Linked DNA regions of Notamacropus eugenii. The protein of the gene in region 1 interacts with the protein of each later gene in a biochemical or structural test. Links are inferred from orthologs where the notes say so. Each region holds a gene or a part of one and is shown in the gene's direction. Other genes may lie near its edges.

Region 1 (7,288 bases):
TAGTGTCTACAGTAACTTTAAATGGGATTTCTCTTTCTATCTCTTCCTATTGGGCTTTGTTAGTAATATGTTAGTAATGCAGATGATTTATGTGGGTTTATTTAATACAAAGTAATTTCATTCTATGAAATAATAGGGAGAGAGACTGGATTTGTTATTTTATTATATGTTGTTGTTCATCCTTCATTTTTTAAGAGGACAAATGACACCGCTGAGTAATATCTGTGTGTGTATGTGAATTAGATTTCAGTGAGGCAGGTTTTCCCAAAGTCATCAGCCTCACTCTCTCTTCCAGAGACATAGAAGTCCAATGACGACACAAAAGTCAGAATGACTGGTGATGGCCCAGGATGCAATGGATGGATGACCTTGGCATCTTTGATATCTGACCAAGCTCTAAGTGTTCCATGGATCCTACTTCAATTGGGCCATACTGTTTTCATCTACCCATTCTGCTGGAGGAAGTCTTCACAGTCTTGGGATAGACATCCCTTTAATTTAATATAAGAAACTTATAGATGAGGAAACTCCCTTTACCAAAACAGATCAGCACCTTCTCTTTAACATAAAGCACTACAAAGGTGAGGAAGGGAGGGAAGTGAGAGGGTAAATGATTTTCCAGGATCACAGAGCCAGTATGATTAAATGAAAAAGATAGTTTGCATGATTCCCATGCACAAGATCAATGAACCTTGGTCTTTCTGGCTCAAGGCTGGCTCTCTACTTATTAGGCCACATTTCTCACAATATTTTATAGATACTGAATAGAAACTAATTTCAACAGATGAGAGATAGCCTGGAGTGACTAGGGAACTAGCCTTCTTTCTGTCTTTAATGGATACTAGCTATGTGACCCTAAGGAAATCACTTAACCTATCAGTGTTCCAGACAAAGTTCTAAGGCAAAAAGTCAGGTTGTCAAATACAAATTTCCACTGGAAGACAAAGCTTCCTTACCAGGGAGCTTCCCATAAGGATGAAATCACACATCTGGACTAAAAAAATGAAGAGTTCCCCTAAAAGATAGAGTACTAATGGGGAAAAGGAAAGGAAAAATATTGTGGAGGAGATTTCAAATTTAGCCTTTGGGGATCAACTTTTCCTGTAACGTGGAAAAGAGGGTTGCATTTAGAGTCAGAGAACCTGGCTCCAGACCTCAGCTCATTCGCTGTGTGTGATTCTCTGAACTTAGATTCTTCTGTAAAATAAAGGGGCTAGTCTCTATGAACTGCAAAGATCTTTTCCACCTAGCAATCTATGTTCTAGCATTTTCTGACCTTGACCAACAAATCTGAACTTCTGAATGCCTTTGACAATTTTCTAAAATTTTAAGTTACAGCTGAGTCGAGGATCTTTATGGGTAGAAGAAACTTTCTACACTGATGAAATCTCCTGTCCAAAGCACCTCCACCCCCACCACCAGCCTCCCAAAAGTCATCAGACTTGAAGAAATCTGTTGTACTAAGAGGATGGGAGTTATGACTGAAGACAAAAGAGGTCAGTAATTTGAGAACATGGAGAATTTTGAGGGGAAGCGTAGATGAGGCACTGAAAGGCTACTGCAGTGGGGGATTGGGGACAGTATGAGGATAGGCATTAGCAGCATGAAGAAGCATGAGGAGTGAGGAGAATGCCAAAGAGAATCTTCACCTATTTCAAATGTTTGCCTAGGACTATCCTGGTGGCCATTAAAGGACAGAAAATGCTCTTCTTTTTCCTATTCCTCCCTCCATACTGCATGGTCTCCTGGTCTCAGAACCCAGATTTTAGAATAGCGCCATTAATACTATTGTTGTTATCCATTATGCTATTAAAGCTTAAAGCTGCATTGAGACTTTTGAGAAACCCAGTATGAAGCTCATCTATATAACAGATTAATAATAATAGAGCTTATATTTCTGTAGGGTTGTTGTGAATAAAGCATTTTAGAAATCAGAAAGACCTATATAGGGGAAGCTAGGATGTGCAGTGGATAGAGCACCAGGCCTGAAGTCAGGAAGACCTGAGTTCAAATCCAGCCTCAGACCCTTACCAGCTGTGTGGCCCTGGAAAAGTAACTTATCCCTGTTTGCCTCAGTTTTCTCATCTGCAAAACAGGCTGGAAATGGTAAACCACTCCATTATCTTTGTCAAGAAAATCTTAAGTGGAGTCACAAGGAGTCAGACATGACTGAATAACAACAACTACAAAGCACTGTACAAATGTGTTAGAGAGGCAGGATGGCAGGCCTTGTAGCAAATAATCCCAGGATTCAACTCCTGTGCCTGACACATTGGTTATGGGACACTGGGCAAGGTGCCTCACCTTTCAATGCTCTAAAGCAACACTTCTCAAATTTTTTGCTCTCAAAATCCCTTTATACTTTGAAAAAATGATTGAGGACCCTAAAGAATTTTTATCAACGTAAATATCTATTGATATCTACCTTATCTGCGATTAAAATATAAATTTTAAAAATATTTAACTCATTTAAAACAAGGACAAACCCACTACATGTTAACATAGATAATATTTTATGAAAAATAAGTATATTTTTCAAAACAAAAAATATTGAGTAAAAATGGCATTTTTTATAGATTTTTGCAAATCTCTTTAAAGTCTGGTTCAACTGAAGATGGTTAGATTCTCTAACCTGTTCTGCATTCAATCTGCTGTCATGTTTTTCCTTAAGACAATCAGGCCTCACACAGTCAAATAGTCAGGAAAAGGAAAGAGCATTTTAATAGGCAAAAAATGAATTAGTATTATCGTGAAATTAATTTTGCCCTCATAGACCTCCTGCAAGGACCTCAGGGACACTTGGGGGAGGGGGTGTCCATAAACACTTTCAGAACCACTACTCTGGGGAAGGTAATGGTGCTAGGTGCTACACACTGTGCTAAGTATTTTACAAACATTACTTCATGTGATACTGACAGCAACCCTGAGAGTTACAGTTTATTACAGTTCTGATTACCTCAGTTTCACCAGTGAGGAAACTGAGAGAAGCTGGCTACCCATGGTCCTTTATGTCAGTGGTAGGGTTGAAAAATGGAAAATGGAAATCCAGGTCTCCTATATGACTGAAATGACTCAATAACAAAACCTGATGCTGAGGGGAGCACTCTTTCCACCACAACATTGCTGCCTCTGTAATAAAAATAAAAGTAATAAATAATCTCAGTAAGATCTAAGGTTTATGCAGAATCACTTTTAAGGTTTGAAAAGTGCTATTGTGGCCTAGACTGGCAATGTACCAGTCTTTTGTAGCATTTTTCTCTATGAGAAAACATGTTCCCAATTCCAACCACTTCAAAAAACAAATCCTCCATACACTGGAGCCTGATACGCCCTAGAGAGAGAAGAAATAGGAAGGAAGTAAAGTTTGGAATGGGATTAGGGAGAAAGGACTCATAAAGCATACAAAATAAAAGAACAAAATCGGATTGAAGTCAAGGCAGGTGACTTCTCTGAGCAAACAGGGAGACAGCACAGTAATTCATGATAGCAGACGTTGGACTAAATCCATTTCCATTCCTTGGACATGACACAAGGCAAGTCCTCTGAACACGGAGAGCTTTGAGGAATTGGGTTACTATGGGGACTTCGGGTTGACCCTAAAGTCTGGATACTCAGGGTCTCCTTTTCTCCGGTTTTTTTTTTTTTCCTGAGGGTGCAAGCTACCTTCTCACTTAGCCCCGGAGTCCCCTTGTCTTTGACTTTCAAAAAAAATTCGTTAAGACGAGAAACCAACCAGAGCTCAGCAGAGAAAGGAAGGATTAGGTTTGGGCAAAGTAGTAAGAGATGGCCCTAGGTTTATTTCAGAAGGGGGATATTAGAAGGGTACGTGGCAAGCTTAGGCCACGAGAGAGGATAGCAGATGTGGCCCAACAAGGCTAGCTGGAGAGAAAAACAGCTGAGAAGACAGGAGCTGAGAGTAAAAAGTCTGTGAAGAGGAAGGGAGCCAAGGCAGAGAGGGGGCTCTTGGCACCGATTTGGGAGCGGTCGTCAGCTCAGGTCTCTGCTACGCTTAGTTGGGGAAGGAGGGGTGTAGGTGGGGTGGTGCAGCATTGGTTTGCCTTTGCTGCGGCGGCAGCGGCGGGAACTGGAACAGGTGAGCTGCGGGTGCCAGGTCCCTTCCCTGCCCTTCTCCCAGTGCCCTTTCCAGAGAAACCCTGCCCAGCTCTTTGCAGTTCGGCAGCTCCCCTCGGATTGGGGTTTTGCAATTGGCGGCAGGGTGCTTCTCCCCCCCCCCCCCCCCCCCCTCCTTCTTTTAGGTTGCTCCACCCCGCCCCGGATCCGGCGAGGGGGGAAAGCAGCAGAAGCGATTAGCTGGCGCTAGCCAACTCGTGCTTGCGGAGTGTGTCTCTGAACTCCGGGAGTGAAGTCCCGCGGCGGCGGCAGCGGCAGGCGCTGCCCCTCGGGTCTCGGGCTTCTCGCTCCCGCAGGACCCCTTGGCCTGCCCCTACCCCCTTCCCTCCAGCACACCCACCCTTCCCCACTTTTTTTTCCTTTTGCAATCACATGGTATTTTAAGAATGCTGGAAAGATGGCGGTAGCAGCAGCAGCAGCTTCGGCAGCGCCGGCTGGAGGAGGCGGAGGCCGGGGACAGCGGAGCGGGCTGCTGGAAGTTTTGGTGCGGGACCGCTGGTACAAAGTTCTGGTGAACTTGAACGAGGACTCCCTGATCCTGAGCAGCGAGGAAGGGGCCGGAGCTTACAACGGCATCGGGAGCGGCGGAACCACCAATGGCTCTTTCGGCCGGAGCAGTGGCGGCGGCGCCAGTGGCCACGGCCCCGGGGGTCTCGGGGGCGGCGGGGGCGCTGAGAGCGGGAACCAGTCCCTGAACACCTCTGTGCCGGCGGTCGGGGGCAGCCCCCAAGTGGGAGTACGCACTGCCTTCACTGACCTGCCTGACCAAGTGCCCGAGTCCATTGCCAACCAGAAGCGGGGCGTGAAGGTGCTGAAACAGGAGCTCGGGGGGCTGGGCATCAGCATCAAGGGGGGCAAAGAGAACAAGATGCCCATCCTCATCAGCAAGATTTTCAAGGGACTGGCAGCTGATCAGACCCAGGCCCTGTACGTGGGGGACGCGATCCTGTCTGTGAATGGAGCCGACCTAAGGGACGCCACCCACGACGAGGCAGTTCAGGCGCTCAAGCGAGCGGGTAAAGAGGTTCTGTTGGAAGGTAAGGGGTTAATGCCTCCTGAGACTCGCTGCGCATACAGACACAGGCATACACACAGACACATGGACACACACACACGCCAGGTGGTAAAACACACGCACTCGCTGGGGGCCGCGCCGTCTTGACAACTTTTGTGTCCTACCAGCCTCACCTCCCCATTCCATGAAGTCTGCCAGCGGCAGCGGAGAGATGACAAGCCCGGGTCACTTCAACTAGCTTTCCCGACCTGGCCTTGTAAACACTACCCTTGGGCTGGTACTACAGTAAAGGTCGGGGTCTGGCTGGGATGTGAGGGTGTGGGAGGAGTATGGTTGGAAAAGTGGAAGGAAGAGAATAATCCCAACCTCTCACATGAGAATTCCTACTCTGGCGCTTTGGGTCTAGGGATTGACTGGGCGAATTGGGAGAGACAGGGACAGACCAGGAATGTAGAATCGAGCGCATTTAGGGTTAGGGTTAGGGTTAGGATCGAAGGTCCCCGATCCCCCTCCCCCACCCCCACCCCCCCTTGCAGTTGGTGTTGGGCAAAGTCTAAGACCTTTCACTGGCTGCACGTGTGACCTGTAGAGACTGGTGATGTCAGAGACAGAGACAGAGAGAGACAGAGAAACACTTGTCAGCTAGCTTAGGCAAGGCGAGAGTTTTGCTAAGAAAATGTGGCAGTTTCGTGCAGGAGTTCGCCACTCCTTCTGCAGGGCGTCTGTCGGTCCAGTCCGGCTGGATTCTTGATTGCGCTGCGTGGAGAGCTGTGAGGTCGTTTTCTGCCCACATTTTTTTTTTCTAGGCTTTCTTACTGTAGTCATATGGTCTGGGGCTTCAATCTGCACTAGTTTTTTATCCGTGCCTGAGGTGCCTTAGAAACTACTTCGTGAGCCGATTAACCTGAACACCTCTACACCCCTCACTAGGGCTGCGTCTGAAATACCCTAGGAATTACTGTTCATTACAGGTTTGGAGATATCCAATGTTGTGAATGCGGGGGAACAGTTGCAGACCAGACAATTAATTCTTCATGCCAACTGCGCGCACATTATCCCTCCATTCTATGGAACAAAACATTCCATCTGAGACCCCGTAAAAAGCCATTTGTTGTAAGCCTGGGAGCACGGAATCTGGGTGGAGGAAGACCAGTCTGGCCAGACTCCCTGATGGCCTTGTGGTGGTGCTGCTGTCTCTCGGTGTGGAGCTGTGAGAGGAAGAGAAGCCGCGGTCGAGCCCAGCGCTGCGGGGAAATAAACTTTGCAACTTGTGACAGGTGATGCAACTCCCTGGAATATGATAGCCCACCTGATGGCCCAGAAGAAATGAATTAAAGCGACGCGGAGTTGGGTGTGGAGGTGTTTCTGTACTCTGCCGACGTACTGCTTTGTGCCTCCTGCTTCTACCGCCCTCCGCAGCTAACTCGGCACTAGTCAATTTGCTTTGGCTTGGTGATTACCATAAGTAAACAGTCAAGTTTTTCTTTGCCAAGGTGTGTTGGGGTAGGTGGGTGGGTAATAAGACCTGGTCCCAGCCAATTATAATTATGTGTGTATCTATATAATATACACATATACACAAACATACAGATACCATCCAACCCTATGTCTTTCTGGAGCCCAGTAAAATACTGAATAGAGGCTAGTAGGATCATTGACTTCAGGCTGTTACTTTAGGAACTAGCCCCATCACCTCTTCTCATTCAGTTTTCTTTTTTTTCTTTACACCCTTTTCTCTTTTTTTCACACTCCTTGGGGTCTTCCGGTTTTCTGACCAGCAATTCAGATAGTCATCTAAACAGATGCTTTGTGATGTAGCAGGCAGCACAATCTGAGTTCCAGTCTAGCCTCGGGCTCTGGCTGGTTATACGACCCCAGACTAGTCTTTCAGTGACCCTAGGAACTTCTTTCCTAGACTTAAATTGCAGAACACTAACTCAGTTACATTGATTGCAAGCATTTCCTCACTGGAGAGCTTTCTGCCCTGATGAAATTATTGGTCTGGACGAAAAAAATTATCTAGTAAAGAAGAAAACAAATTACCCTGGGGTTGAGGTCAGTGGGGTGGTCTTGGAAAGGATAATATCAAAGAAACATATGATGAGGGAAAGTGGGAACATGCCAGATAGAGAATGAGCTCAC
Region 2 (7,442 bases), on another chromosome or scaffold:
ATATATCTGTTATGTCAGAGCATGGAAAGCATTATTGTAGGTTAAGCTGAGAGCACACCAGAATGTCTCTCCTGATTGACCAATTCAGGTTTGAGACCTTTATCAGGTCTTGGGTGCTCAAAGTGGTTTGGGGAGGGGTCTACACCCTCTACTGTAATATGTCTTTTGCGTCTCTTCTTGTGAAATAATTTACCCCATTCTACCTCTCTTTCTTCTGCACCAAGTGTACTCCTCTTTCTCATCATGTTTAATCCTGATTGAGACTCCCTGACATTTGGATTGTTACTTTCTGTTACTGCATTCCCTAATGTAGTATTTTTTCTTTGATCTGATAGTTCTGAAATTTGGCTCCAAAGTTCCTTGGAACTTTTTTGGGGGATTTCTTTCCTGAGGTAATCAATAGATTCTTTCAATACCTCTTTTGCCCTCTGGTTCCAGGACCTCAGGGCAATTTTCCTTGGTAATTTCTTGAAAGATGCTGTCCAAGTCCTCTTTGTGATTATGGCTTCAGGTAGTCCAATGATTCTGATATTATATTGCCTGGATCTATTTTCCAGGTCACTTGTTTTTTCCCATGAGACATTTTACATTTTCTTCTATCTTTCATTCTTTTGAATTTGCCTAATTGGTTCTTGATAGCTCAGAGAGTCATTAGCTTCTGCTTGTCCAATTTTAACTTTTAATGCATTGTTTTCCTCAGTTAACTTTTGTACTTTCTTTTCCATTTGGTCAATTGTACTTTTTAAGGAGTTGTTTTCTTCAGTGGATTTTCATCTCCTTTTACATTTGTCTGGTTCTGTTTTTAAGCAGTTTTCCAAGCTGTAGACTCTTTTGTCAATAATTCTGTTACATCACTCTCATTTCCTTTAACAAATTTTCTTCTGCCTCTAATATAATTTTGAAACTCCTTTTTGATATCTTCTATGAGTTCCTTCTGGACTTGAGATCACTTCCCATTTTCCTTTGTGGTTTTGCCCATAGGTATTTTAACATTGTTGTTCTCTTCTGAGTTTGTGTTTTACTCTTCCCTGTCACTATAATTTTCTATGGTCAGATTCTTTTTTGTTGGGTTTGGATTTTTTTGCTCTTGTTTTTGGCCCTTTAATTTTGTTCTTTTAAATTTGAACTCTTTTCTTGGGGTGAAAGGGGCACTGTCTCAAGTTTCATGGGCCAGGGCCTGCTGGCCCTTGCTGTTTACCTGGTGTTGTGTTGATGTTGCCCAGAGACCCATGGGGACCCTCTTCTCTTGTGGATAGATGGTGCTACTGAAGGCTGTAGGGTTCTAGTAGTTTACTTGATGCTGAACTGGGATCCTATTGGTGGTGTCCTGTATGTGCTGAGGCCTAGAAATGTGTTTTTACATTTCCTTGGTGCTACACTGAGGCACATGGAGGTATGCCTTCTGGAGAATGTCTGTTTTCCCAGAGGATTATGCTTCTTGGAGCTGGAGTCTGCTGGTTCTCCTTGCTATGCTAAGGCATGCAGGGACAGAGAGGTGTTCTTGTGCTAGTGTTTGCCTACTCCATCACACTGGGGCTCAAGATCTCCCACTGGTTTGATGATTCCTGTTCTGGAATGTATTCTCCTTTTATCTGATTGAGATGGACTTTTGTTGCCAATCTTCCAAGTTTCTTGGGCTAAAAGATTGCTTTACCCATCTTTTAGCTGGTTTTGCTGTTCCAGGATTTGTTTTGGGGCACTATTTTATGGTTGTTTGGAGGTGAAAATGGGAGAGTAACAGTGATTTATTGCTTACTGCAATATCATGGCTCCTGGAAGTCAATCTCTGGGACATTTCAAAGAAAGAAAAAGTGCGACTATGACTTTGTTTTTTTTACAAATGCTAAGTGGAAAGAGAGGGTCTTTGGGGAAATTGAGACGATTTGGTCAAAATTTGTGCTGAAATTAAAATATCATATAGTCTAATTTTCAGTGAGATACGGTCTCTTACTAAGATAATTGTGGTAAATCAGAATCTAGTGTAAAATCTGTGTGCTCTTAAGCTCATTACTTTATGTTTACCTCAGTTTCCTAATCTATAAAGGGGAAAAATCCTAACACCCACCTCCTATTTTTCTAGTCAGGATCACATGATTTTAAATGCTTAGCATAGTGCTTGGCACATAACAAGCAGTATATAAATGTTAGTAAATGTAAGAATTCTCTGTTGGCCTTTAATATAATTGATATAACACACTAAAAGTAATAAAATGAATGATTTTCTATGTGAGATAATTTGGAAATGCATTCAATTGAATTGATATCACCATCTGGGTATAAATTTGTTCATATTTTAAATCCATGATATCATGTGCATTATTATTGTGTTTCTAAAGTTCTTCATATATTATAAAATTTGAGAGATCATTGTGTCAGAAATGCTATTAGAAAAGTAACTTATCTTTCAATCTAGATGCTGTTAAATTATAAACTGAACTGTTAGACAAATACGGTAAAAACAAATTTAAAAATTGTTAAATATTTAATGGTTTATATTTGCTTCAATGTAATAATTTACCATTGAGGGAAAAAAGTAGCAAAGCCCTCTCCAAGTTGTCCTTATCTATGAGGTACCTTTCTTAGGGCTATCTACTTAGGCCAGGTCATACAATCTTACAAGCCACATTGACCTCTGCCTTAGTATTGGTACCAGCAAAACGAGGGTGAATAGCACTTATCTTCCAAAGTTACTGAGGACCAAATGAAATAAAAATTATAAAGCACTTAACTCAGTGCTTGGCACCTAGCAAGCATTCTATAAATATTAGGTTATTATATGTATCTATACATACATATATCCATGTTTATGTATATGTGTATATCCATCTGTGTTGTACATAGATGTATACTTACACATAAATATATACATTTACACACATACATACACATGTACATGCAGTTGACTTTGCAAGTTCTTTGCATTACTGTGCTGATGTTTAGGAAGCACATCCCGACATTCTAGTGGTCCTCTTGTTTTCTAAGAAAACATAGTGTTCTTGGACAGTATTTCCATGAAAAACAACTGCTGTTACCCTTCAGTCTTCTTATAAAGAAGTCTTAGACTTGAGAACTTACTGCATAGACAATCCTATTTAAAAGGACTGCATTCCCTAATTCTTTTTTTGTAGTTGTTTTCCCAATTCTAGCTTAGTTATCTATTGATTTATTTGTCTGGTCATTCATTTATTGATTTATTTGCTTTTCCAAAGTACTCTTTCTGAGAGAAGATGCCTTCTGAACTCTTGGAAACAAACCAGAAGCAAAGCCGATCCAAAGTTTTATTTTAAGGGCATGATGAACAGTTGTAAAGCAGTTTAAAAAACCACTCATTCTTCGAAAGGAATTGGTAGGAAAACTACATTCTTAATTAAAGTCCCATATTTTGTCATCTGAACAACTTTAAGGATCAATTTTATATTAAAGACACAAAGGCCTGACTTTCTTAGTTGTAGAAAATTATATTTGTCCTTTCAATTTCTATCTTTTCTAATCTATCTTTCCTTCAGTCAGGAGAAATTCTACAGAAAGTTATTTCATTGGGGGGGAAAGGTGATTGAAAAGCATGGGGATTGCTTTTGAACTAAACAAAAAATGTAAATAATAGTTATTATTCTTATAATTATTCATTTTCCAGTTAACTGAATGTCTTACTTTCATAAGGTTTGGGCAGCAGCAAGAATGGCATAGGAGACAGCCGCCCACTTTTGTAGTTAGGGAGATCTGAGTTCAAGTCTTGTTTCTGACACACATTGGCTGTGTATTAAGTCGCTTAACCCTCTCACTACTCCTCGAGAACTTTAAACTTAAAAGTTACAAATTAGTCTCTGTTCTTCCTTAGGAGAGGGAATTTTCATATACACCATTTCAGTCACAGACTTAGACCCCTCATTCCCCCACTCCAAAAAAAAAAAAACCTTTAGGAAAAATCCTGTCATTTGGTGACCTCAGAATCACATGAAGGGAAACTTTTATAAACTTCCATTTCTTCCTGTATTTTATTTTCTTCCAGCTCTATTCCATTGCCCTCCACTAGAATGATTTGGTTGGGTGCCTGAAGAATCCAGTGACCAAATAACGGCTAATTCCCTCTTCAGGAAAAGGAGAACTCTTTTGCCCCTCAGGGTCCAGGATAGCTATCCTCCATCCTCTTTCCCATTCAGACTGCATATTTTACTGTCTTAATGTCCTTGCCTTATTCACCTAGCTGTCTAGCGGGTGCCACAATACACCTGTCCCCCACGCTGTACACCAAGCAGGTTGAGGCTGCTCTAAGTGATCTCTCTACCTGCCTTGGGACTCCCTCCGGATTCACTCTCAGGTCACCACTAAAATCTAGACAAAGCGGGAGCGAATGCCCTCAGTCCATGGAAAGTCTGCATGACTTGAGCTGGGCATGCTCAGTGAGTCAGGGCAGGTTTGGGGCGCTAGTCGGAAGCTTTTACACTGTAGCTCGGCTGGCCCATGAAGCCTCTCTTCCTTCCTCTTTCCCTCTACCTCCCTCCAGCTGCCTGCCCTTCCTCCTTTCCCCTCCCTTCCACACACACACACACACACACACACACACACACACACACACACACACACACACACACACACACACGCAAGGAGGCGTACACAAGGGCATTCATCAGTCCTCCACCTCCCCTCCCAGCCTTCGCCGCCTCCTCCTCCTCCTCTGGCTGCGGCTGGCGAGGACACGTCAAGGGAAATAAATAAATAAATAAATCCATTCACCCTGTGACAGCGAAAAGAACCGGCTGCGGCGGGGGGGCACGCACAGAGCCGAGCGCCCACCCACTCATCCCGAGCTAGAGACCAGGTATAAAGTAAGTACACACCGGGTGGCACAGGGAGGTGGAGGAGGAGGAGGAGAAGGAGAAAGAGGAGGATGAGAACGGAGACCTCCGGGGCTCGTAGATGCCCTTAAGGAGAAGGGCTGAGCGCGTGTGTGCTAAGAGTGCCCATTGCGTGCACGATATAACATACATTGTACTGGAGTGCTGGGAGGAGAGTCCATATATAGACAAAAAGCTGAAGCTGCCCCCAGAGGAGTGTGTGTGTGTGTGTGTGTGTGTGTGTGTGTGTGTGTGTGTGTGTTGGGCACGCTCACACCCAGCATGGGGGGGTCTCAGCCTCAACATTGTTTGAATGGGCGCGCTTGCGAGGCAAAGGGAAATGGGGGGGGTGGAGGGTCCCATTCAAGAACTCCTGCCAGTCTTGGTTGTGCTCTTGTGGACGCGTATCTGATGCAAGAACAGGGCCTGGGATCGCTTCTTGACTGGGGATGGTGGTGGAGTTGTGGGGTATTTTGCACAGGAGATTCCCTAGCCCTCTCGCTCCAGGACTCGCGGCGTTGTTTCCCAGTCCCCAGCTAGACACTGTGTATCGCCTACTTGCATCTCACAAGCATCTTAGCGCAGAAACCCGGACATAGGCAGCAAGGGCAACTGCTCACGAGGATGGCGCTGGTGCAGCAAAGGGGAGGAGGGGTGGTGGTCACGGGGGTGGGGGTTCATTTTCAGCAAAGACTCAGTTGATTGGGGCGAGGAGGGCGTCTGAGAATGAGATAGTCTTGGATGGTCTCTTTTCTCTGCCTCTACTGGAGAATGGCAATGAGGGATAGGGGAGGTGGATAGAAGGTGTGTGCCCGGGATGAAAGAGGCTCAGTCAATGGGCTGGAGGGCTAGAGAGGGGCACGGAGAGGAGGGGAAATGAATGCTGAGATGGACCCCAGCAGCTGCCGCAGTAGCTAATGCAGGGAAGGGCTGGCTCCCGCCGACTCCTGCCAACTAGGACCACGCGCTGCGCTGCTCTGGGGCCGGCTGTGCCGAGCTGGCTGCCCCCGGGTCCCGGCCAGGTGGCATTGCCTCTCACGTGCGAGTGTGCTCATCTCTCAGGCGACTGTCGCCAGGCCTATTGCCTCCTCCCCCTTCCTCCCCCCAAGTCTGTCTCGTCTGTGCTCCGCCAAAGGGGATATTGGGTGCCTTGGCCCTGGCTGGCACAGGCACAAGTACGCCGAGTCATTCCGATGGCCGCCTTTTTCCGTTAAGACTGGGACGGGGATTTGGTGCTTGCACTGAAGGGGGTGGAGGATGGAACAGAGGGCAAATGAGGAAAGACTGGAAGATTGTTCCGTCTCCCGCCTTCCTACACTCACTATCTGCCTGCCCTTCCTGGCTCTAGAGGCAGGGCTAGGCTAGGCCAAGGGCGGGAGTGCACAACAAGCAATGAGTTTAGCTGTAGGTTATTATCTCATGGACCCCTCCCTCGGGCTGGCCAATAGGAAGCGGCCCATGGGAGTTAGCGGAGAAGGGATGATGAGGACATGAGAGCAGAGGTTGGGAAAGAGGGAGAGTGGGACTCTGGATGCCCTTTTCCTGGCAGTTAGACTGGGAAACCTTGTGGTTATCAGCCCAACCACCAAGTTCAGAAGACAGCAAACTTGTTAAGAGGCATGTTGAGTTGGATTTGCTGTGTCATTGAGACATCAGACACTAGGACAAATACGGAATGAGAACAAGTCAAATGAATTCAGTTAGCCAATTAGTCCAGTCCTCTGCCTCTAAGGTAGGACTATACTCAGTCATATTATTAACCCCAAAAGGCATTTGAAAATAGCTTCTGGAAAAGGGGATTCTTTAACTTCCCTCTGTAACCTAATCCTGACTCAAAAGAGTAAATTTTCACAAGGTAATAACCTCAAGTTATGCATCTTCCTTCCAGATTCAGTTCAATTCAGCTAACATTACTTAGAATGGGTAAAACACTCTCCCTACTTTTATTATGCCAAGTCGTACCCTAGGGATTTAGATGAGTTTGGTATGATTTTACCAGACCCACCTTTTGCAGGGAAGCTGGAACTTTAATATGGGAATCACACATTATCTCCAACCTAATCCTAAACAAAAACAGAACCAAAACACCTTGAGAGAGAGAGAGAAGGAGAGGTAAATATTATATTCGTTTTACAGAAGAGTCAGTTTGATAGAGAACACCTGATTAGTGCTATATAATTCAGTGATGCATAAAAACAGGATTAAAATGAGGTTCCCTGATTACTAATGCAATTTGATGTTTACTAAATGATGCTGCCTCTTATGCTACTGAATTTTCATCCTCTTTCCCCTTATCTCAAATTGATATATATCCTAAAAATCATTGCAGGAAATTAGCAGTGGTAATAATAACTTATATTTATATAGCACTCTAAGAATTAGGATTTTTTAATATATCTTCCAAGTACACAGTATATGTATTATAATTCCTATTTTACAGGGAAAGAACCTGAGTCTTGGAGGGTTAAATTATATGTGATCCGTGGTCACATAAAGATTTATTAAACAAGGAAACTGCTATTTGAAACAAGATTTTCAGATGCCTAGTTCAGTACTTCTTAAAAAAAGTTCCACTCTACATCCTTTGTAAGTAAAGTTTAAAAAAGA
Region 3 (7,375 bases), on another chromosome or scaffold:
TAAGCAGTCAAGGGTTAAGTAAATTGCCCAGGATCACACAGCTAGGAAGTGTCTGAAGCTGATTTTGAACTTAGGTCTTCCTAACTCCAGACCCAGAGCCCTATCCACTGGACCACTCAGTTACTTTTTTCCCCCAGTGAGATCAATGATGCATTGATTTACTGAAGTATAAAAAATGTGGTAAATAAGTTAAAAGCCATAGAAAGATCCTTCAAGTTGGTGTCATTTTTCACTTTGTATCTCAAAGACCTAGTGCAGTGCCTTGTACATGTTAAACACAATGAAAATTTATAGAAATGGATTTATATGCTCTAGCAGTAAGAAGAAATAAATGTGCTGTCTTTCTCACGTTCCTCTCTAATATGGTCAAATACTTACTCATATTCATTGACTCATAAGCCTTAACCAGAAATAAATTAGGGAATTCTGATTATGGTTACCGTCTTTGATAACATAAAGGGAATAATTGATCAGGTGGTGAAATATCACATGCAGGAAATATGTATATGACAATATTTGCATTAGGTAGAGATGGGGAAATCATCTTATCTGAAGATATAGTGAAGCTTACCATGGATAAAAACCTGAGTAGCCAACATATCTCCACAGGAAACTTCTTTAATGTTATCTTCATGTTTCCTGAGAGTTGTTAGATTTATATCAATTTTTGGATATAAATACATTTCCCCATATACTGTAGTTGTGGAAGAGCTAAGCTCTAAAAGCATCTATCCAAAGGTTGGGATTTTCTTGACAGGGACTTGGAAGAACAAAAAGGAATTAGGAAAGAGCCAGAAGTTCTGGAATATAAAAATTTCTGGCCAACAATTAATTGTAGTTTTTATTTAAAGCTGACATAGACATCAATTTCCCTCATACAAAACAAGAGCCATCTTTCTCACTTAGAGGAGGAATGGTCACCGTTTTCAATAAGGCAAGAAAGGACTTCTTTCTAAGAGAGCCCTTCCCAAATGAGGCAATGATGGTATATCAAAAAGATCTTTGAATGGGGAGCCAAATATTCTGGGTTCCAATCCAGCTACAGCCACTAAATAGCTGGGGAACTTTTGTCAAATTTTTGCTCAAATTTGCTCAAATTTGCTCAAATTTTTAAGCCTCACTTTCTGCAGCTGTGAAATAAAGGTTTCAATGTCTAAGTTTTTAAATTTTAAGTATATATTTAGATAATTATCAAGAGGCAGCTGGCATTGTGAATAGAGAGCTGGCTCTGGAGTGAGAAAGATCTGAATTTGAGTCTGGTCTCTTCACCATATTTGCTGTGTAACCCTGGACAAGTCACTTAAGGTTTCAGGCAACTTTAAAAGACTATAAATTGCAGAAATGATGCAGACCTGGACCTGCATTAATGAGGCAGTTTCTTGCTGGCAGCTTTTTATACTAATGTAGCTAGAGATCTGGTTTAATAAAATAGATATTCACTAAAGGAATAGAGTCCCCTGTTTCTACTGTAGAACCATGCTTTAAGGAAGAGTTTTCTTTACCTTCTACTATAATAAACTGATAAATTCAGAACATACTGAAGCAACTAATAAGAATTTCTGTTTAGGAAGGTTTAAGTAAGTTATTTAAATAAAAAAAAATAGAGTCCTGGATATGCATCCTCTCAATCTTTTGACTTATTGATAAGACTTTTTTTTGCTTGCTTTGAGCATTTTGATTCCTTTTTCTATTTTTACATAAAACAGGAAATTTTACTAAAAGTGGTGAGTTTTTGAAAATATTCCATTAAATGCTTCTTCACATTCTTCCCTCAGTTAGGATCTTTTACATTTTGCACATCAATAGGAATAGAAGTTGCTATATTTCCTTCACAGTTCATATATTTACAATTAGAAATTCAGCAAACTTTTCAGTCAGGTAAAATATAATAGGTGCATTCATATAATAGCTACAGAGTATAATAACAACAGCAAATAATTTGACTTCATCCCTTTTTTTTTCAATTCAGCTGGTTTGTGCATGTGCATCCACCAGTTTCACTCACAGATTCAGAGTTCTTGTTGGCAACCACTTACCCTAAAGAGAAAGACTAGCTATTTGGGCCTCTTACAATGACTAGAAGCAAGTTAGATTCATGACATTCCACTTAGTAATTTTGATTTTGAGAAAAGCACTAAGATGATTAATTAAAAAGCCCCAGTTTTCATTTTAACCATAAGGTCAATAACCATTGTCATGCTGGATCATTTGTGTCCAAAAATAATTCACTGAATAAATGTGGAAGGCACAGCCTTTCTATGTGAGTGTAAGATAACATGACAATTGAAGTTCATCACTCAGAATAAAAAAAAGGTAATTAAGGCCTCCAGGCTGCTATGTTCCAGATGATATAGCACAGCAAGAAAATTCAACAGATTTCTAAAGTTGGTATTATACTCCCTGGTGAGGTTTTTTTTCCAAGGCAGCTATTTACAACTGTTCAGTAAGGACAAAATCTGCAAACTTTTTTTTTTTTGTATTAATACCTGTTCTAACCATAGAGAAATATAGTTATGCATGATTTCCATTGGAAATAGTACAAAATTAAATGAAAAGAAAGTATGTAGCACTGCCATAATTTAATTCCATTCTATTTTTAAATTTGAAAAGGGAGAGCTTAGGAAAATTATTTCCACACTTTTAGCTCAAGACAACAGCATATTAGAGAGCAGCTGAGGTGTTGTGGTAGGAACAAGAATAAGACAATCCAGGTTGAAGTTCTTGTTTTGCCATTTGCTGATTGTGTAGCCTTGGAGAAGTCACTTAACATCCTTAAGCCCCAGGTTTCCTGTCCATAATATGGAAATAATAACACTTGTGTTATTTAGCTGACAGGTTAAACACTAGACCAAATAAGATGTATGCAAACACATTACAAGTTCCAAAAAAGCCATATGTAAATATGAGTTATTATTAGCTAAATCTGGCAAATAATGATGTTTGCCAGAAATGGTAAAATAAACATCTTTTTAATCCCTAATACTTATTTCTGGGCCTTCTGGTGAGACTTTGGTTTGCTTGTTGCTTCTAGGACAGTTGCCCCAGCTGCTGCACTCCTTCAGGGAGGACACTCACCTATTTGACTGTAGTTGAGAACACTTTTCTTCACAGTCACTCGGATCAAGGTCAGAGGAGGTCAAAGTTTTTCAGGGAGAAAGGGAAAGCACCGTTGGACAGGTGCTTAATGACCTGCTTGTTTGCAGTGAGAAGATTTCCGATGAAGCGGGTGCATAACAAAGTGTGAAATGATCAGTTAAATAACAGTGAAGATGTTATCTTTCTGTGTTGCATTTACAGGCAAATGTAAAGAGATTTTACCCGTGGAGTAAAAAAAGGGGTGAGTGACCAGAGAACTCTACCTCCCTGGCCTCTTACTTCCGCCACCTAGGTGCCAGGGAACGCTGTGGAACTATGTTAGAGCTTCTCTCAGTCATCAGGGAAATCTGCGGCAGGTAGAAAATGGAGCTGTCCAGCACTTATTCAGAGCCTGAGAGTCCCTGCAACTCAGCTACAGGGCTCTTTTCCTGAATAATTTCGTCACCCAAGCTTAGGGCCCCGGTTTTGGCTCCATACCTACCCGGGCTCTTCCTCCAGTAGGACTAAGCGTCATCTGGGGAACAGTCTAGTCTCCGGCACAGGTTCCTTTCGGGAGTTGGGTCAACTTGCTTGTTCCTTTCTCCCTGCCCCTGGGGTTTCCCAATTTTAGGGGAGGCAAGTGACTACTGCGAATGTGGAGGTATCTTAAACGGAATAACAGCTTTTCCTTGTGCTTCTGCACTCACCTGTTAAGTGTGGCAGGAGGACGGGAGAAAGGGCAAAGATGGAATCAAATGTCCACTCACTTCCCAACCACCTTGTCCCCATCTAACTTTAATCCCACGCTAAATACTCTTCATTTGGCCCTAAGAGAAGTGTCTTCCAAGAGTCTTTTCAGGTCCTCACACTCAACCAGAGGGAATTCATCCACTGGGGCTTTCTTTCTGACATCTCGAAGTGGGAGGGAGATTGCATCAGAGGTTTGCTACAGTGACTGACCACCTATCTCCGTTTTACCTTCAACCCCCTCCCCCCATTACTTCATTCCATGCCCGTTCCAAGAGTTAACTCTACTCCAGGCAACAGCCTCCCCATACGCGGGAATCCACGGATTTGGGAATGGTAGAGTCAAGAGAAAATTGGGTGTGGGGTCATTTTATATCCCTTTTATCTTGAGTTCTGCACCCCGCCCCCTCGTAACCCCTTTCCCAGACTATCCAGCGGGGAGGGGAAAGGAGGAAAGCAGAGTTAAGCATCGGGGGGTTGGGGGGAGTGTCCTCATTGCTTCTGAAATGTGGCGACAAGCTAGGGAAAGACTCCAAATGAGTCTGATGGGGACACGTGATACGGGCGGAGGGAGGGGGGAGAGAGAAGAAGGGAGGGATGGGGGTGGGGAATGGAGGAGGAGGAGATGATAAAAAGAGAAGGAAGGGAGAGAGTAAGAAGAGAGAAGGGAGGAGAAAGAAGGAAAAGACGGGAGGGGAAACAGAAAAAGCAAGGGAGACAGAGGGGTAGCAGAAGCGTCTGCTTTCAAAATCACAAGGTTCCCCCAACCTCCTCCCGCCCCTTCTCTCCCACACGCACACATACACAGGAGCGCGCGCATACACACACATACACACACACACACACACACACACACACTCACACACTCACACACACACACTCACACACACCCTCACACTCACCCACCGCCCGCCCGCCCCCCTGCCTGAAAGCGCAGCGCAGCCGGGGAAGAAGATGCGCTGAGGCTGGAGGCAGCAGCGGCCGTGCTGGCGGCAGCGGAGCCGCGGCGGAGGCGGGAGCCCGGGCAGCCGGCGCCACAGCCGGAGCCGAGGGACTCCGGGGGAAGGTGACCAGGAAGCCCGAAGTTCCCGCCATGAGCAGCCGGTTCGCGGGGCTCCGCGGCCCCAGGAGTTCCTACCCGTCTGAGCCCGCTGGCAGCTCCGCGCGGCCGCGGCACCTCTAGTTGTTCTGCCAACCCTGCTCCCGGTCCCCGGCGCCACCCGGAGCCTCCGCCGCCGCCACTGCCACCCGCGCCGCCGCCGCGCTCCCGACACGCTTCTGCCCAGCGCCTTGGCCATCGCCGCGGAGGCAGCAGGAGCAGCATGTCTCGGAGGAAGATTTCTTCCGAGTCCTTCAGCTCCTTGGGGTCGGACTATCTGGAGACCAGCCCGGAGGAGGAGAGCGAATGTCCCCTATCCAAGCTCTGCTGGAACGGCAGCCGGAGCCCTCCCGGCCCTCAGGAGCCCGAGGCAGTCGCTACTGCCAGGGCTGCCACGGCCACTGCCACGGCTGCGGCCACTGCCACGGCGACCGCAGGGGCTAGGCGTGCACAGCGCCGGAGACGGGTCAACCTGGATTCTCTGGGCGAAAGCATCAGCCGCCTGACGGCGCCCACGGTGAGCGCCTGGCAGCAGAGGGGTGGGGGGCGGGGGAAAAGGGAGGGAGGTGGGCACAGGGGAAGTGGGGAAAGTTGGCTGGGGCTGGGGTCAAGGGGTGGATGAAGCGCAACGGGACAAACTTGGTCACTGGAGGAGGCATCGGGACCTTTCACCCTGACGCACTTCTTTGGTCACCTTTGCATCGGTCTCCATCCCTCCTCATTGAACAGCTCCTGATTTTGAAAAGATGGAGTGATATGGGACTCGGGGAACATGATCATCGTCTCTCATTAGGCTCTTGGGCTATATTTTTGTACCCCTTTTGAAATCTCTCACCCCAAGAGTTTGGTTCTCCTGCTCACCTCCTGTCACTTCACTAACATTCCAGGGCATCCACTGTTTTATCACCCCCTAAACTTTTTGAGCTTTTCTTTAACTAGTTTTTTCATCCTAGCCTTCATTCTCCTTCCGTTACTCACTTAATTTCCCTATGGTTAAACATCTCTTTGTTAACATTCCCTTTGTTAAATATTCCTCTCCTGAAAACCTTTTTTACTACTCTTTGTCATCTTATCTGCCAGTAGACTAACCTTCTGTTTTCTGAATTTCACACCTATAATTCAGGTTGCCTTATTCCCCTAGATCATTACTAACTTCCCATCAAATTACTTTTAAGAGTTGCCTCTTGTCCTGGAAACCTCTTATTAACCTATCCATATCTCTGCCTACCTTTCCAGCTCTCATCTGGTTGGAGACTCGGTGAGGCATCTTTTTCACTCCTTGTTGGTCCCATTTCTGGTTCATCCCCCAAATTCTTCCGATTCATTTTATGTCTTTTCTCTCCCTCATTCATTTCACTTTCATTCCTTTCATTCTCTTATGTCTTTCCCCCATGTCTCCCTGGATACGTACCATAGTTCCCTATTTTCATATTCCTCTTTCATCTCAAATTTACATCACATCCCCTGGTCCTTGAAATTCTTAAAAAATCAATTCAGCACTTATTAAGAGTTTTCTTCCTTGGTCAGGGTCTTTTTCCTTCTGAGTTTACCAACCCTTATCCATCTTTTCTTATGGGGAGACACTCTAGATCATTGTCTCCTGAGTTGTATAGTTTCTCCTACTGTGTCCATTCTGTTGTAGACTCTGAAAGAGATAGATAGATAGGGAGATTTTACATGTTCATATATATATGTGTGTGTGTGTGTGTGTATGTGTGTATATATATATATATCTTTATGATGAAAGAGAGAGAGAGATATATCACCATTCTGTTTCCTTGAGCTCCTTGAATGCTCTATTCAGTCTCTCCTCCCTTTTTCTCCCTAATATCTGGCTCATTGTCACCTTGGCCACCAGGCTTCTGACTCAAAAGAACTTCTCTCTATTGCCCAAGTACTTGCAGTTGGTTTAGAAGGCTCCTGAATGTCCATAATAAATCTGAAAACAATTTGACTGCATCCCTTTGGTAGGATGGGCAGCTCTAGGATTTGGATAACTGGTCTCTGTAGTGGAGCATTGGGGAATCAGGGTTCCATAGGTTGTCTAGATTGGTCAGGAGTCCAGGAGTTTCTGGGAATTCATTGTGGAATCTAAGCAGTGGGAAATATTGAAGAACTATTAGAAACTTTTATTTAGAATCTATGAAAATCACTCCCCCCTCCTTACCCTGTTGTTTTTCTCTTTCTCTTAATTGAACTTCTACTTCTTAATGGAAAAGCTCAGGCATAAAATTTAAGCAAGGTTATTTTCTCCTCCAGAAAGGATTGAATGAAGTGTGTTCTCAAATAGGAACATCAGCTTGGTAGTGCACAGCCTTGGGGGGCAATGTTATGTCACAAATCACAAAGTGGATGCCCTGAGAAAAGAGAAAAAAAGCCTAAGACACACATATAGCAACATGTACTTCCTTGATTTATGCTAGTACAAGGAGGGGGACAAGAGCGGCATTTGTT
Region 4 (7,216 bases), on another chromosome or scaffold:
GGAGAAGATGGGACAGGAGGAGGGAGAGACTTGGGGCATGCAGACCAACCCCCAGGCTGTTGGAAAAGTCTGGGCTGATGGGCTTTGGCCACAGATTGGAGGTGGGATGTGGGGAGTTGAGGATGACCCCCAGTCTGGGGAAGATGGTTAGTGCCCCTGGCAGTAATGGGGATGTTTGGCGTTTAGAGGGAAAGATCAGCTTCGAATGTGTTGACTTTGAGATGCCTAATAGGCCGTTGGAGATGTGAGAATCATCTGCAGACAGAGGATAATTGAATCCATGGGAGCTGATGAAATCACCCAATGAAACAGTCTGGAGGGAGGAGAGAAGAGGGCCCACAATAGCCCTTTGGGTCACCCAGGCACGATCTGGATGAAGATCCTGCAAAGACCGAGAAAGACCAGTCAGATAGGAGGGAATCCAAGAGACAGTGAGGTCACAGAGGGAGACCTGGAGAGTATCAAGAAAAGATGTGAGTCAATGGTGTCAGAGGCTGGAGAGAGGTCAAGAAAAGCCGTTAGATTTGGCAAAGACGTCATTAGTAATGCTAGGGGAGAAAGCCCCTGGAGAGTGGGGTTCTCAAGGAATCCGCCTTCCACTATGGGCTTGAAACATTCACAGATAAGGGAGTACAGGAATATAGGATACCAGGTCTCCACCCCCACCCCTCAGCAGTGACTGCCGCACACACACACACACACACTCACACACACACACACGATCCTCTGGGTGGGAAACAAAGGTACTTTGAGCTTTGGCTTTTGAGATTGGAGGGCAAGGGGTCTGGAGATGGTGGGAACTTGACCAAAAAGGCCATCTCCATCCTGATTTTACTCTCTGAAACGGAAGCCACATTGTAAAGGGAGATGGTCTCCCCTGATATCAGAATAGCTCATGCCTGTAGGCCAAAGTGCTTTCTTCATAACAACCCTGAAAGGTGGGTAGGATCTTTTTTTATAGATGGGGAAACTGAGTCTCAGAGGGGAAGTGACCCTACTAGTTGAATCTTGTGACCCCAGCCCAGTGCTCTTTCCACTCTGCTTGCTCCATGACATCTCCTAGGGTGCAATGGGAAAAAGATGGCTTTATGGACCTTGGGCCCCATCCTCGGTCACCCTGCTGGCTTGGTAGAGACATGACATTTGGAGTCCTCCCTTTCTCTCTTTGAGTTCTCCCTCAGTCACATCCTCTGGGCTTGCCTGTTGGAGCTCCCTGGGTTGGTTTCTTAGCCACTCCCTTCTCTGAACTCTGGGAAGAAAGGAATATTTCTTACTTCCACTTTGTATCTCTGTCCCTTCCCCACCCGGCCACCCGTGGCCTAGGACAGTGTGTAACACACAATCTAGCTTAATAATGTCTGTCTGCTTCAGGGCTTGCTGGCCTGGCTTTTTAGACTCTAAGCTGTGAGGCTCTTTGGCAAAGCTAGCCCTGTGCTAAAGGTCTGTGGGATACAGGGTAAGCTCTGTAGCAGTGTTTAGGATTTACCCGGGGCTTTCTACACATTACCATGTGTTCTCATTTGATCTCACCCCAGCCCAGTGAAGTGCATTGTCCTCTAGGTGCTCTCTCGCTCGCGCTCTCTCTCTCTCTCTCTCTCTCTCTCTCTCTCTCTCTCTCTCTCTCTCTCTCTCTGTCTCTCTCTGTCTCTCTCTGTCTCTCTCTGTCTCTCTCTGTCTCTCTCTCTTTCCCCACCCCTTCGCATAAAGAGATTAAAAAAGTTAGGTTCCAAGGTTTTTGCCACCAACTTGCCCAAGGTCACAGAGTTAATAAGTGTAGGACTGGATTTCAGTCCAGGTTTCTCTCAGCTTCAAGTTGGTCCAATGGTCTTTTTAATAGTGGCTCATTAATGTTGGCGTAGTCTTTCCTAAGACACTGCCCCACAAGTTTGCCATCTAATGGTGGGGAGTGGGGGGGGGAAGGAAAGAGATACAATGGGAAAATAATTAAAACATGTCAGGTTGATGGTACCAGCTCTTTCTGGAAGAAAGCAGAGGGTATGTTTTGAGGGCCACTCTCCCAGTGCTGCTTGGAGTGCTCGAGAGCCTGGAGTGTGACACATAGACTCGTCCACTGTCCTCAGCAGCATCCCTAACATTTCTTCTGAGCTCCAGTGCTGCCCATAACTGAATGTCCCTCTCACAGGGGAGGGGAGAAATGGGGCAGACTCAACATGTCCTCCCCTGCCCCCCATTCCTCCCCTCTTCCCAGCTTCCTCTTGTTGAGAGCACCACCATCCACCATGCTCGAAGCTTTGGTGTCATCCCCGACCCCTCCCTCCTACTCACTCCCCATGTCTGATCCACCTTTACATCTCTCCTGCATTACCTTCTGACCTCATTCAGCCCCCACCCTCATTACCTCTTGCTAATTAATAGCACACATTGAGGTGTCACTTTAAAGTGCTTTATAAATACCCCATATTGTCCCCACAATAGCCCTGGGAGGCAGGTACTATTATTTTTCTGGTTTTCCAGAAAAGTGAATGATTAAAGAGATGTGAACTCAGGTGGGTCTTCCTGACTCTGGGTGCAGAGTTCTCAGCTCATTCTTTTAGCTGCCAGTGATTTTCCTGAAGTTCTCATATGATCATAGTGATATGGTCACACACACACACACTCCCCCCTCTGTAAACTCCACTGCCCCCCTCCGCTCTCTTGGACCACATAAATCCCCCTGTCTGTCTGCCTGCCGATCTGCCCCTCTGGGTGAGTGAGCAGGGAGGAGAGGTTCTCGTGTGTGTGTGTGTGTGTGTGTGTGTGTGTGTGTGTGTGTGTGTCTGTCTGTCTGTATTTGTGTGTGTCTCTGTCTGTTTCTGCCTCTGTCTGTCTGCCTGCCGATCTGCCCCTCTGGGTGAGTGAGGAGGGAGGAGAGGTTCTCGTGTGTGTGTGCGCGCGTGTGTGTGTGTGTGTGTGTGTCTGTCTGTCTATCTGTGTCTGTCTGTATCTCTCTGTCTCTGTCTCTGTCTGCCTGCCTGCCAATCTGCCCCTCTGGGTGAGTGAGCAGGGAGGAGAGGTTCTCCTGTGTGTGTGTGTGTGTCTGTCTGTCTGTCTGTATTTGTGTGTGTCTCTGTCTGTTTCTGCCTCTGTCGTCTGCCTGCCAATCTGCCCCTCTGGGTGAGTGAGCAGGGAGGGGAGGCTGGTGTGTGCGCATGGGGGCTGGGAGCCAGCCCTATCAGGAGGAAGTGCACTTGGTTACCAATGGGGTTATTTTCATAACGGCTGTCTTAGGCTGAAGGGAGAGGGGGAAGGAGGGGGGAAGGGGTGACGAGGGGGCGGAGAGTAGGGCTGCTGCCTCCAAACTAGGACTTACCAGAGAGAGGGCTGCTGCCTGGAGCCCCAGGGCTTGCTCGCAGGACCCGGAGCCCCTGCTTACTGCTCTCCCTGCCTTCAGATCAGGTCAAAAGGGGACTCATCCCTTCCCTCTCCTTCCCTCCCCACTCCCTCTCTCATCTGCGTGGGGCCTCCTAACCTGGGATTTGGGGTGGGGTGGGGGGCACTGGGCACAATGTGGCCAGGAAGGGACTGGGATCCTCAGCCTAGCTGTAAGTGTTGAAGAGAGGGCACTCTGTGCCCCTCTGGTCCTGGGCAGGGAGTCCAAAAGAGCCTAGGATAAATATTAACCCAGCCAGACAACTCCCTTCCCCTTTGCCCAGAGCCTTGCCACCCATCCTGTTGCTCTGCCAGCTGCCTTGTGCCTGCTGGCTTGCTCCCCAGCAAGAAGTTTCCTAATGAAAGCAGTCTGGGGTTAGCTGCCTGTTCCTTCCTTCCCTTCCACCCCATGACCCCCCCCCCCAATTCTGGGCACTGATAAGGGAGGCCTCCTTCCTCCTGTGCCCTCTCTTTTGGCGGTGCCCAGACCTTCTCCCCTCCCCAGCCAGGGGCTTAGTAGCCTTTACCTGGCATCATGAAAAACAGCAGTTTTGGAATATGAGGAGCTCAACCCAAATCCCAGCTCCGCTCCATCATCCTCTGACCTTAGACAAGTTCCTTTACCTTTTGGGGGTTCAGTCTTCTCATGTCAGAGGCCTATGCTGTGTCTTTGCTCTCCCGTCTCAGACTTTCCCAGCCTTCCACCCAAGGCTTGTGGGAGTTGAACAGCTGGACATTGGCGCACAGCCAGCATCCCCTGGGGGATGTAATATGCCTCCTCCATGGGGATGGGGCTTCTGGAAGAAGGCTAGTTGCCTCAAGAGGAAGGGAAATGTGTGTCAGTCTTCTGGTCTGTGCTTAGGCCCTCCATGTAGGGAAATGAATCAGAACAATGGAGTGGGCTTCATCTCGAGCAGCAGCTGCTACCCAGAATGCTCAGAGTGAGCTCCTGCATCAGTGGGTGGTAGGACTGAGTGATCTGAAGCCCCCTCAAGTTGCAGGTGGAGGGTCTTTGGTCTCTTTCTTACTTAGTGGGCAGCCCTGCCCCGGGCTTTGGAGGGTAGCACGGAACATGGGAAGCACTGTAGCCAGGACTAGGGGCGATGTGTATGTAACAGGCTGTGGAGGCTGGCACTTTGTGGCATGAGCAAATACCCAGGTGGCCAGGCTGCCAGACCTCCTTCCTCATGTAGTGGACTGGGACTACCCTTCAAATTCACACTTCCCTTTCCCTCTTCCTTCTCCTCTCCCACCCTGGCTTTAGTGGGAAAACCCAGGAGATAGGAGAGAGCACTTTTGGCCTTGTTAAGATGAGAGCCACCTGGCATAGGCTCCTGGAGAAGCTGGGTGACACCTTTAGGCCTCTTCCAGCTCAGGAGCCTCCTTGAGAGGCCCAGTCAGTATTGGCCAGGGATCAAAATGTATATTAGACTGGAAATTCATTCGTTTCTGGAATGAGAGACCTTGAGGTTTTTCCAGCCTCCTAGCAGCTCTCCCCTCTGAACTGTTGTTTATCCAGTGAGCCAGTCCCAGAGAGGACCCAGGAGTCCCACTACCCAGCCCTGCCTTTCTTTTTCCAGCTCCTGGGGAGAGAGGTGAGGAAGCTGCCCATACCTTCCCTTGCTATCAGACTGTCCTTAGGTGGGCCAGGTCATGGGCCGAGGCCTTTGGGACTCATGGGTAAGGGTTAGCTGGGCTCCCATCTCGCCCTGGTGTGGGTTCTGCACTGTCCCAGGTAGAGAATCAAGGGGCCATGTCCCCTCCCTACCGCATTGATGTCTTTGAGGCTCTTTGGCGTAGCCCATTTGTTCCCCCTCATGCTTTCAGGCTGTGGGGCCCCCCACACAGTCTGGGTTACCACAACCTTGGAGCCCAGTGACCTTTACGCATCCAGCGCAGAATAAAGCTAGAAACGCAAGAAAGTCTAAGGCACCGTTGGAGCTCTACTGAGCTCTGCCCAGCATCCCAGCCCAGTGAGGGCTTAGGCTAGACTGGTCAGAGGTCCCTGGAGAGCGGTTTGCTGAAAAGGCCAGAGAGGAAATGGATCCAGAGCCGGCTGAGCAGAGGACAGGGTTGTCTGTGGTGACCAGAGGGAAGCTCCAGCACCCTGTTCTGTGAGGGAGGCCTCTCACTACCCTGCTCTCTCCTAAGGAAAAGGCAGCCTTTGAGGGGCCCCATCACTGTGGGATGAGCGTTGCTGAGTAGCTGTTAGCCCTCCTCCTGTGGCTGTGTGAGCCCTGTGCTCACAGGATGGATGACAGCAAAGATGTTGCCAGCGGAATGCAGGGTGGGGAAGATGGGCATCTGGGCACCCAGTGATTGGCCTTCCATCCAGGCCCTCCCTTTAGTCCATCAGCAAGTATTTTGGAAGTGCCTACTATGTGTCAGGTGCTGTGTTCAGGGCTAGAGCTGACCAGCAAGGGTTTACAAAGTGCCCAAGGGCCTGTCTGCCCCCTCCCCCATTCCCCACACAGAGACTGTGGCCTTTGTTTTCTGGTGACACTAGCATCAGGCGGTCTGTCAGGGTGACTAATCTCCTCCAGTCTGGACAGCTGTCACAGGACAGCAGAAAGCTGATACCCCATAGGAAAGCCTGAGGATAGTAGCATGGGACTGCCAGTCTGACAGGTGGCAAAGGTACACAAAAGGCCCCTGGACTTGAAGTGCCTGGGAAACCTCTGGGACCACAGGCCAGGACCTAAGAGCTGCCTTTGATGAGGGCCTCGATGCTCCACCAGGCCTCTGGCCCTCTCAGTCATTGGTACCCCAGGCAGGGCGCTGGCATTAGAAACCTGGTGTGCTCCCTGCCCTCAGACAGCTGCAATCTGTAGGGAGAAGCCAGGGTTGAATCTAGGGGCAGTCCTGCTTGCAGTGTTTACCAACTATGTCAAGAAAAAAACCCAATTGGTCTCAGTTTGCTCATCTATAAAATGGAGTTAATAATAGCACTTCAGAGGATTGTAGGAAGGGGCAAATGCAATCATGAATGTAAAGTGCTTTGTCACCTTCAGGCCTGTACAGAAACTAGGAGAAGGGAGGAGACGGCCCCCAGTATCCCACGCTGAGCCGCGAGCTGGCCAGACACATGGGTCAGTCATCAAGTGTCTGTGAAACCTGTACAGTGACCAGACATAGAACAAAGGAGGAGCCCTTTTCCAAAGAGTTTATGATCTAATGGTACAGATGTGTGTATACAAATTGTGTCTCTGAGGGACATTTTAAGTGCGTGCAAGGTACCCTCAAAGGGGATGTCTCCAACGCTGGCAGCCAGAGGCCTGAGGAAAGCCTCCAGGAGACAGATGATGGCATCTGGGCCGAGCTGGAAGCAGCCGCAGGGTGGGAGTGGGGACTGCCCCCAGTTGAGAAGCCCAGAGAGACGTAGGAGATGGAGCATTGGGAGTGAAGAACATCCACTAGGTCCGTGTGCCTTGACCTTGGAGTCTGTGGAGGGAAATGGTATGTTAGAAGACTGGAACAGGGGCTGACCTTGACCAGGAGGCCAGATGGAAGCCCCTGGAGTCTTGAGTATTGGGGATGACCTGATCAAACCTCAGCAGCTGAGTACAAGATAGATTGGCTTGGGAAGAGATGGGGGCAGGGAGAGCTTTTAGGGGGCTGTTGCAGAGATCCAGAAGAGAAGCCTGAACAGGAGTGGTGGCTGAGGGAGAAGGGAATGTGGATGGGACAGGAGCAGCCTGGGAACAGATGGAATGTGCGCTGAGGGAGAGAGAAGTCCAGGTGCTGCTGAAGTTCTGAACCTTGTTTGTTGGAGAATGGTGCTCTCAGGAGGACTTGGGAAGCTGGGATGAAGGGCTAGGTTGGAGGGAATGAATTCTGAGTTTGAGGC

Evidence for each region.
Region 2: the proteins of SNTB1 (region 1) and SLC16A7 interact in a test that uses a peptide from one of them, tested with the Homo sapiens proteins (2 studies listed by IntAct, with this or other methods). The link is inferred for Notamacropus eugenii from reciprocal best matches to the Homo sapiens genes SNTB1 and SLC16A7.
Region 3: the proteins of SNTB1 (region 1) and GUCY1A2 interact in a test that uses a peptide from one of them, tested with the Homo sapiens proteins (2 studies listed by IntAct, with this or other methods). The link is inferred for Notamacropus eugenii from reciprocal best matches to the Homo sapiens genes SNTB1 and GUCY1A2.
Region 4: the proteins of SNTB1 (region 1) and DGKZ form a complex in vitro, tested with the Homo sapiens proteins (2 studies listed by BioGRID and IntAct, with this or other methods). The link is inferred for Notamacropus eugenii from reciprocal best matches to the Homo sapiens genes SNTB1 and DGKZ.

What each region holds. Positions count from the first base shown.
Region 1 is NC_092875.1:124,293,706-124,300,993, forward strand, and holds the start of SNTB1 (beta-1-syntrophin), read left to right. Parts: upstream 1-4,287; 5' UTR 4,288-4,528; coding exon 4,529-5,168; intron 5,169-7,288. UniProt on the Homo sapiens protein: Adapter protein that binds to and probably organizes the subcellular localization of a variety of membrane proteins. May link various receptors to the actin cytoskeleton and the dystrophin glycoprotein complex.
Region 2 is NC_092874.1:235,355,600-235,363,041, forward strand, and holds the start of SLC16A7 (monocarboxylate transporter 2), read left to right. Parts: upstream 1-4,440; 5' UTR 4,441-4,826; intron 4,827-7,442. UniProt on the Homo sapiens protein: Proton-coupled monocarboxylate symporter. Catalyzes the rapid transport across the plasma membrane of monocarboxylates such as L-lactate, pyruvate and ketone bodies, acetoacetate, beta-hydroxybutyrate and acetate.
Region 3 is NC_092876.1:147,947,593-147,954,967, forward strand, and holds the start of GUCY1A2 (guanylate cyclase soluble subunit alpha-2), read left to right. Parts: upstream 1-4,350; 5' UTR 4,351-5,144; coding exon 5,145-5,438; intron 5,439-7,375. UniProt on the Homo sapiens protein: Has guanylyl cyclase on binding to the beta-1 subunit. Isoform 2 acts as a negative regulator of guanylyl cyclase activity as it forms non-functional heterodimers with the beta subunits.
Region 4 is NC_092877.1:4,447,286-4,454,501, reverse strand, and holds the start of DGKZ (diacylglycerol kinase zeta), read left to right. Parts: upstream 1-4,200; 5' UTR 4,201-7,216. UniProt on the Homo sapiens protein: Diacylglycerol kinase that converts diacylglycerol/DAG into phosphatidic acid/phosphatidate/PA and regulates the respective levels of these two bioactive lipids.